2 linked regions of the Rattus norvegicus genome follow. The protein of the gene in region 1 purifies or fractionates together with the protein of each later gene. This does not show direct contact. Links are inferred from orthologs where the notes say so. Each region holds a gene or a part of one and is shown on either strand. Other genes may lie near its edges.

The links.
Region 2: the proteins of Wdr12 (region 1) and Bop1 purify together in Homo sapiens (affinity purification with western blotting; 6 studies listed by BioGRID and IntAct, with this or other methods). This does not show direct contact. The link is inferred for Rattus norvegicus from reciprocal best matches to the Homo sapiens genes WDR12 and BOP1.

The regions. Positions count from the first base shown.
Region 1 is NC_086027.1:68,993,911-68,998,162, forward strand, and holds the start of Wdr12 (ribosome biogenesis protein WDR12), read right to left. Parts: upstream 2,902-4,252; 5' UTR 2,751-2,901; coding exon of another isoform or gene 2,539-2,750; 5' UTR 2,296-2,538; intron 2,167-2,295; 5' UTR 1,986-2,166; coding exon 1,945-1,985; intron 1-1,944. Other genes in the region: Carf (calcium-responsive transcription factor), read left to right, coding at 2,539-2,750.
Region 2 is NC_086025.1:110,073,629-110,078,214, forward strand, and holds the start of Bop1 (ribosome biogenesis protein BOP1), read right to left. Parts: upstream 2,902-4,586; 5' UTR 2,895-2,901; coding exon 2,802-2,894; intron 800-2,801; coding exon 629-799; intron 1-628. Other genes in the region: Hsf1 (heat shock factor protein 1), read left to right, coding at 3,280-3,396. UniProt on the Homo sapiens protein: Component of the PeBoW complex, which is required for maturation of 28S and 5.8S ribosomal RNAs and formation of the 60S ribosome.

The sequences.
Region 1 (4,252 bases):
AGGCAAGGAATTTGAATAGTTTTCCAGAGAAAGAGCAATAACAGGACCAAGCACAATCCGTATCACTTGACAGCCATAAGTGTTGGTGAAGATACAGAGACGAAGAATCTTCATCAGTGCTGGCGATGATGTAAAACAGTAGTTACTTTGGAAAACTGGGAGCCAGTTTCTTTAAAAGTTAAATGTGGGGGTTGGGGACTTAGCTCAGTGGTAGAGCGCTTGCCTAGCAAGCGCAAGGCCCTGGGTTCAGTCCCCAGCTCCAGAAAAAAAAAAAAAGTTGGGTTGGGGATTTAGCTCAGTGGTAGAGCGCTTGCCTAGGAAGCGCAAGGCCCTGGGTTCGGTCCCCAGCTCCGAAAAAAAAGAACAAAAAAAAAAAAAAAAAAAGAACAAAAAAAAAAAAGTTAAATGTGGACTTATACTCTTTGATCAAAGAACCACACTTTTACATACATACCATCGAACAAGGAAAACACATGTTCACTGTGCATAGTGGCATGGGTCTTTTAATACTAGTATTTGGAAGGCAAAGGCATGAGGATCTATGGGTCTGAGGCCAGCTTTGGCTACACAGTGAGATCCCGGCCAGCCAGGGCTACACACGTTCACATAAAAATTGTATATTAATGCTTACACATCTACTATTCACAACAGCTAAAATACTGAAAGTTTAACTGGACAATAAGAGAAACTGAACCATACAATTTGGCCATAAAATAAAGTATGATGATATTGTCTCACAAATAAACTAAAAAGAAAAAAGAAAAACACGGTAAACAAAGATGACATCCACAAAAGACCATACATTTTGTATAATTTCATTATAAAAATGTCCAGAATAGGCAATTCTGCAAATAGATGGTAAGTAGGTAAGTAGTTGACTTGGGTGAGGAGTATTTAAGGGATGAAGTGTCAACTAAAGAACGGGCAATCCCCCCCCCCCATTAAATGTCCTTTATAAGAAAAAAAAAAAAGAACGGGCAAGTTAGAGCCAGGCAGTGGTGGCCAGTGGTGGCGAATGCCTTTAATCCCAGCATTCAGCAGGCAGAGCCAATTGGAGTGAATAGTTCTAGGACAGACAGGGCTACATAGAGAAACTCTGTTTTGAAAAACAAAAACAAAACAAAACAAACAAACCCAAAAACCACAATGGGGCTGGAAAGATGGCTCCGTGGTTAAGAGCACTGACTGCTCTTCCAGGTCCTGAGTTCAATTCCTAGCAACTACATGGTGGCTCACAACCATCTGTAATGGGGTCTGATGCCCTCTTCTGGTGTGTCTGAAGACAGCTACAGTGTATACATAAAATTAATAAATCTTAAAAAAAAAAGAATTTGTCATTTAAAAACAATAACAGAAATGGGGTGGTGGTGGTGAAGTTTTTTCTAAAATGAATTCTGTGGATGTTATACAACTCTATTGTGATATACCTGAGCCCCATATTATATATGTATCACCAGCAAAGTTGTCTCTATAGAACTTATTTATATATAGACACACAAGTACACACATAGAGTTTTATCAACTAGATAGAAAACAAGGTTATCTGAAAAGAGGAAATTCCGTAGAGTGGCCTGTAGGCAAGTCTGTGTGAGCATTTTCTGGACTAAAGACTGCTCACGACAGTGAGTAAAAAAAGATTCAAGATGACGTGACCACCGCTTCCAAATGTGATAAGATAGAAGCGTGGGGCACGTGAATAGGAGTGCGAATGAAGTCTTTTATTTTTTTCTGTCCAGCAGTCAGCTTATCTTATTTGCATCAAATCCGTTTCATTCAAGCCTAATAATTATTATTAAAGTTCTTTCGGCTTTGATTTACTAAAGTCTTGTATATTCCTAGTCAAAACAGCAAGGATTACCCGGGGCTACAAGGTCCAAATCGAAGGAGTCTTCAAACGAGATCGGCTTGGGGAAGACAGGGACAGAAGATGGAACCCTTACTTACTTCTTGTTCTCCGTGTAGAAACGTGCCTGGAGTTGTGCCATGGCAGAAAGTATACAACGAGGCTTCTCCACAAAAATGTATGCGCCGATAATCAAGTAGCTCTAAGGTAGACTGCACCTCGAGCGCAGTAGAAGACAGGCTTCAGTTATCTTCCTCGGGTTTCTACAGACCATACCACGAGGTTCTATTTCCACCGGTGCCCAGCCCGCACACATCAAATACCTATTCCGAGATTTAGGAAACATCGATTAGTAAAGCAGTCTTAAAAGCATCCAGTCCCCTTAATACTTTCATATTTCTTACTATCTATCTAGATCCATAAACGATTAGAAAAATAAAGAAAAGAACTACCTTGAACCTAATTTTTGAGGGTGTCGTTAGACCCAGACCCTTTAGACTCAGCGCTCAGATACTACAAACCCCAGCAGGAAGCGCGTTTCAGACCCTCTGAACACTGGGAGTTGTAGGTTTTATTTACTTTGCCACATCGCTCTTAGGTTCTTACATCCGCTTTTAAAACTCCCTTCTCTGGGCAGATATTACACTTCCTGCTTCTTTAATCTGAGTGACAAAGGCTCCACCAGTTCGTTTTCTATGAATCGTTCCAACAGCCAGATTGAGCTGAGACCATGTGTTTTTACCTCAGACTTCAGAGCGGAAACACGAGAAGGGAGAAGGAATCGGAAGGGAACTGGGCGACGGTGGCCGAGACGGGTCCAATCTGATGAGCCTGCGCTGCGCCTCCCGGAGAGTTGCGCCTGCGCATTGTGGTGGTCTCCACGGCGGGGCCTCGGAGCCAAGACGAGGTTGAGTAGTCTCGTTTTGAATTTTCTCCCTTCTGCTACGGCGGACTCCCCTCTCGCGTTGTGGGGCTCACTGCGGCGGCAGGGTTGGAGGAGCCAGAGGTCTGGCAGAGCTGTCCGCGCCCACAGACCGGACGCTCCCTCCCAACCTCCCTTCTTCCTCCCTCCTCCTCCCGTCACCTCCTGACCCTCCGGGGCTGGGAGCAACCGCCGGCCCCCGCCCCCGGCCGTCGCTGGACGCTGCTGCGCGCTGTCCCTGCGCCCTCGCCCGCCTCCACGGCGGCTCTGTCGCCGTGGACCCGGGAGGGGGCCCGCGGCCGGGAGAAGGCAGGCTGCCGCAGGGGGAGGCGAGGTGTCTGTCCCGCAGAGGGTGCGGAGCCAAAGAGCGCCCCACCGCCCCGGAGCACCCGAGTCCAGGGCCCGAGAGCGGCCTCTCCCCTCCTGTCTGAGTCTGATGTTTAGAAAAGCTTCCTCTGCACCTTCTCCCCTGCTTTCAGACTTTTTCTTTTTTCTGTTTTTGTTTTTGTTTTTTTTTTTTCGGAGCTGGGGACCGAACCCAGGGCCTTGTGCTTCCTAGGCAAGCGTTCTACCACTGAGCTAAATCCCCAACCCCTTTTTTCTGTTTTTAATCCTGAAGTCACTCAAAGGCTTGTCTCGGTCTCAATGGTCTCGATTATTACTCCAGTTATTTTCCTGAGTGGAGAATAGATGGGGGCTATTACTCTTAAGATCCCAAAGTCACTTTTTTAAGGCATTCGCCTGGAAACCTCTGGGGATGGGGTACGGGAACACACTCCTCCCTCCGAGGCAGCAAATTACAGTCAGGCAGAACTGGATTGCAAAATGTGTGGGCTTAGCAGTATGAGTGTACAGGTGAATATAATGAGAGTTTTTCCTGTATGTCGCCTGATATTTAAATCCGTAGAAAATTAGAAGTGATCTAAACAATTGGAGGCGAAAACCAATAATTTGTTAAGTGGACAACACAAAAAGCATGACTGTTTTCAATTCATTCATTTTACAGAATTGCATGCCTTGTATCAGGAATGCCTGAATTTGATTTTACCTGTGTTACTTTTCCTCTGTGCCACACTAAAGTTAGCTGTGACAATTGAAAGTCCCATAAGAAGAACTCAGAACATGTTAACTATTGCTCTCATAAGAGCTACCAATAGAAGTTTTTACTAGAAACCTCAGTGATATAGGTGGAGGCATAAAATGAGAAAAACCTCTGCCGAAATTACAGGGAAAAAACCCCTCTTGTTCAGACTGGGTTTGCTGATGGCAGCAAGGCCCTTTAAACTAGAATCATTTGAAATGATGAGGATTTACGTTAAATAAGCGGGGACATCTGAAACTTGAAATTCCTTAGTTGAAGTATAGCTATTGAATTTTTGCTGGTAACAGGATTGATTAAAAATAGCGTTTTAAACTTCTTTAATTTGGATTTATCAGATTAACAATACCTGGAAGTCAATGCATTTTTTAAAAAAAAATCTTAATTC
Region 2 (4,586 bases), on another chromosome or scaffold:
CGAATCTTACAAACACCATGGTGAACATTTCTTTAACCTACCATAACCAAGACAAACTAGGCCTGGCCTCTTGGTTTCCAACCTGACAGCAGACATGATTAACCAAAGTCATGATTTCCAGAACACCAGGCCACTGAAGTGTAATTACAAACTAGTTTGCAGAAAGTTTTTTAACTGCTGTATTTTAGTCAACTTAAGCGTTTCTTGCATTTTTATTAAACAAAGAGTACAGCCTTCCCTATCAGTTCAGCAGACAGTTGCCTCAGCGTCCAAGGCCCATGGGCAGCTAAGCCGGCCTCTAGTGTCCTCTGCTTTTTCTGCTGAACATCCTCCCTTGCAACCATGCACTGCTAGCTCCCCTAGCAGTGGCATCCCCATCTTGGGCTCTGCCTCTAGAAAATACTCTCAGTATTGGGCAAAGACATGAGCATGTGGACACTCCTAATCCTCAGGAAAGGTACAGACAACTGAGGTTACAGACTAATAGCCTGGAGCTCAAATGTGTGACAAGGGTTAGAGGACTGGGTTCCTGAGAACACCATAAGAGGACAGTATGGGCCCAGGGCAGGTGCTTCCTCTTTCTGACCCCCCTCACGCACAGGAGAGCCCATGGAAGCCCCTCACCCACCTGTTCCTGCTCCTCAGAGGTCTTCTCTGTTCTATTGTCTTTGTCACAACCAGCTCTGGCCACTTCTTCAGTGTCCTCGTCACTCGTGTCACTGCCAGAATCTTCAAGGCCTGAAAACACACTCTCCTCGCTGTCAGAGAGACTGGAGTCAGGGTCGCTGAGGAGAAGAGGCTGCAAGGAATCACAGTGTTTAATAACTGCCACCTGGAAATGGGACATAGCTGTGCCTCACATGCTTCCATCTACACCAAAACCATCCACCCAGCCTGGGCCCTCATCTCCTGCCTCTGTTGACAGAACCTGCCCTCAAAGCAGACACACCGATTCCCAGTTTCTTGCAACAGAGGGACCTTTCAAGAACATATGGCTTTGTGGAGTTCAGTTTCCACTTACTGTCACCAAAACCAATTTTCCTCTACTGACAAACTCTACACCCTACTCGGGCACCCAAGGGTCCAGGAACTGGAAAGGCACTAGCTAGGAATGAGGCCCTGGGCCTGGGACGACTGGAACTCCCTGAAGGCTTAGACCAGCTACAGTAGAAGCTTCTTTACCTTGAAGACTGGGACCAACCACTGACGGACAAGTTGGAAAAGCCCAAGAGTAGCAAGCTAAACTATGTGGTGCTTTGGAAGAGAAGGGCCCTCAGACTGATTCCCAGGTGGGCTGTTGAAGAAAAATTAGGAGGTGCAGCTTTGTAGGTCACTGGGAATGGGCGCTGAGGTCTCGGAAATCCACATCAGACCCAGCATCCCCCTTCCTCTCTGCTCGCTCATTGAGACGTAAGAAAAGCTCTGAAGTGCTGCTCCAGCACAGTGCTCCCTGCTGCAACGGTAGAGGACCAACCCTCTAAAACCGTAAGCAGGCTTCCAATCGCATGCTTCCTTTCATAAGCTGCCTTGGTCATAGTGTTTCATCACGGCACTGGGACGGTGACTAAGACAAACATACCATCTGCTGTCTCTTTTAGAACAGGGAGAATCCTCTGAGTACAGCCCTAGAGGCCATTTTACAACTAACACACTCTGACATTCATGCACGATGGACAGGTTTCTATCACTGACCTCCAAACGTTGAACAAGAACTTGAACACTTAAGGAAGCACGTGACTGCCCCTAGAACTCACTCTGTGGACCAAGCTGGACTCAAACTAACAGAGATCATCTGCCCGTCTTCCGAGTGCTGGGACTAAAGATTGGTGCCACTGCCACTAGCGGTTAATTCTTGCACTTGAGTGGCCTTCACTGCCAACTATCCCAGTGTTCACCTGGGTTTCCAAAGAAGTCATACTGACATTCTCTTATTATTGACGTTTCTAAAACTACTTATCATACTAACGAATACAAGCAGTACAACGGTTAGAGCACAAGCAATCAACTACAAAAAGCTTACTACCTAGACTACTAAAATCTTACGTGTAGGAAAATTTCACAAAACAAAGGGACAGCTTACGTCGTGGCTCTCAACCTGTGGGTCACAACCCCTCTGGGAAGAATGACCCTTTCACACACTATCCTGCATATCAGATAATAACATTACGATTCATAACAGAAGCAAAATTACGGTTAGGAAGTAGCAGCAAAAGCAATTTTGTGGTTGGGGATCACCACAACATGAGGAACCCTATTAAAAGGGCCAGTAGCATTAGGAAAGTTGGCAACTTAGAGGATCCAATGAAGTGGAGTCAACTGTAAGACATAGCTGTGCACGCTTTCTACCACCTTGATTTGATGAAGCCCCACTAGCAAGCCTACTGAGCTCAGCAACATGGAGTAGCAATGATTCCATGACAACCAGCCCTGGATGCCCTGGGTTCCATTCAGGCTTCTATAATCTCATGTCCTCTTGTTTCACAACACACCTGACGTACTGGCTCACCGCACCAGCGCAATTACAACCTTTTCCAGGACAGGAAGCACGGTGGTGAGGAGACTCTTAAAGGTCTCTCCCTTAACACGGTTCAGGCCACAGAACTACCCCTGGGTTCCAGCGCTCCTCGGCGCAGGTAGTGTTCTGTTGAGAGTTCCCAAATAACAGCCCAGACAGAACGAGCTTCTTCTGGGCTCTAGCCGACCTACAAGACACTACATACTGCGCCACGGCCCGGCCTCCCTGGCCTTGCCACGTGCCTACATGGTTCACAGAGGGATGCAACCCGCTACCTCGAAGTTACCTCTTGTATCTGTGGCTCCTGATCAGGTTCCAAACGCCGTTTCCCTGGCAGCGATCCCGGTGACATGTGGTGCTTACCACACGCCCCCGCCATGCTGCACCGCGCCGGCTACCGATTTACTGCCGCTTCCGGCAGCGGGAGAGCCTCGTGTGCCCTCAGTCAGGCCCCGCCCAACCACGCTCTAATTGGTGAGCAGCCCGAGTGAAGCCATCTTGCGCAGGCGTACAGTGCAGCGGGCCGCCCAAGGGCAGGGCCTGTGAAGTCGGCAGAAAAGATCACAGCGCCTGCGCACAGGAGGTACAGGTCTGGCCCTAGCGAGAGCGCGCCGGTCGCAAGATGGCTGCGGCCATGCGAGGCCTTGCTGTGTGTGCGCAGCGGGCGGCGGAGCGGCCCGGACATCAGGGGCAGCGACGACACTAGCTCAGCCTTCAGCCACTCTTCTAGAACGCCACCCCAGCCTCTGCCTGCTTCTTCGGAGATGGATCTGGCTGTGGGCCCCGGTGCAGCGGGGCCCAGCAACGTCCCGGCCTTCCTAACCAAGCTGTGGACCCTCGTGAGCGACCCGGACACAGACGCGCTCATCTGCTGGAGCCCGGTAGGAGCTGGCATGGGCCGGAGCGGCCTCATGGGAGGGTTCTGTTGCCGGAGTGAACCTGTTTAGGAGAAGCGGCCTGAGAATAACCAGGCTTGTCTGGGTTCAGCCCTCCCGGCATCCTGGAGGGAGAACGCCGCTGTCTGGGGAGGAAGTGCGCCCCGCCCCCAGAGCCACTCGCGGAGAGTAGGCCGAGACCCAAAATCCTACATTTCACCGGGACGATAAGGACCGGGCTTCCAGTTCAGGGTCTTTGCTCACAGAGAAATAGTTCCCATAGCCCCTCTGCCTTTCTGATTTTAGCAACCATTCAGAGTACGTGGAGGGCCTAACGAATGCATGGAAGAAGAGTGAGAGTAGGAGATGTGAATCCTAAACTCGTCCCTGATAGTCCCTAGACGTCAGAGCAGTTTTGCCCGGCCCTCAAAGGGCGGTGTCGAACCCTATTCTGTTGCCTGGCAGCGGGCTGTGTACACCGCAGACCCTGCTGGACCTGCATCTCTGACTTGCTTGCAGAAGGTGGTTCCGTGTTTGTGTCAATGTGGAAAGTAGAATCTGCTGTCCACATTTGGGTTCTGAGGCCAGAGTGCAGAGCTAGCAAATGGTGGCCTGAAGACAGGCTATTCTGATCCAGGGAGAGGCTATCCTGATCCAGGGAGAGCCTTTGGAGGGATAAAGGTGGCTAGATGCCACCTACTTGACCTCCTGCAAGCCAAATCCGGAGGCTTCTCGGACTCTGCTGAGCACTGACCCCCCCCCACACAGTAGTTTCTTAAGCTGGCAAAAATGGAAAAAAGCCTGGGTGGTAGGTAGAGGCCAAGGCTTCTGCCTCTCTGTTGCCTGTTTGTTTAAACTCTGCTCTGCCTAAAGGGTGCTTGGGAATAAAGAGAAGACAAGAAAGCACAGAACTTCACTTCTCACCATTCTTTGTGGTTATTCCATGTTTTCCTAAATGCCATCTTCAGTTCACAACCTCTCCTGGACTTCATACTCCAAGGCAGAGAAAATGACCTTACATTTCTGTCTTTCCCCAACGTTCCTGTCCTCTGTTTTCTTTGGCTGAAAGGGAGTTTTCTTAGGTCCAGTAGGGATACCAGATATCCTCTGGACTAGTCTGAGCTTAATCCTATTAGGAAGATCCATCTTGTCTGGTAATGTGCCTGCTGTTTCTGCTTATAGATTGATACAAATGT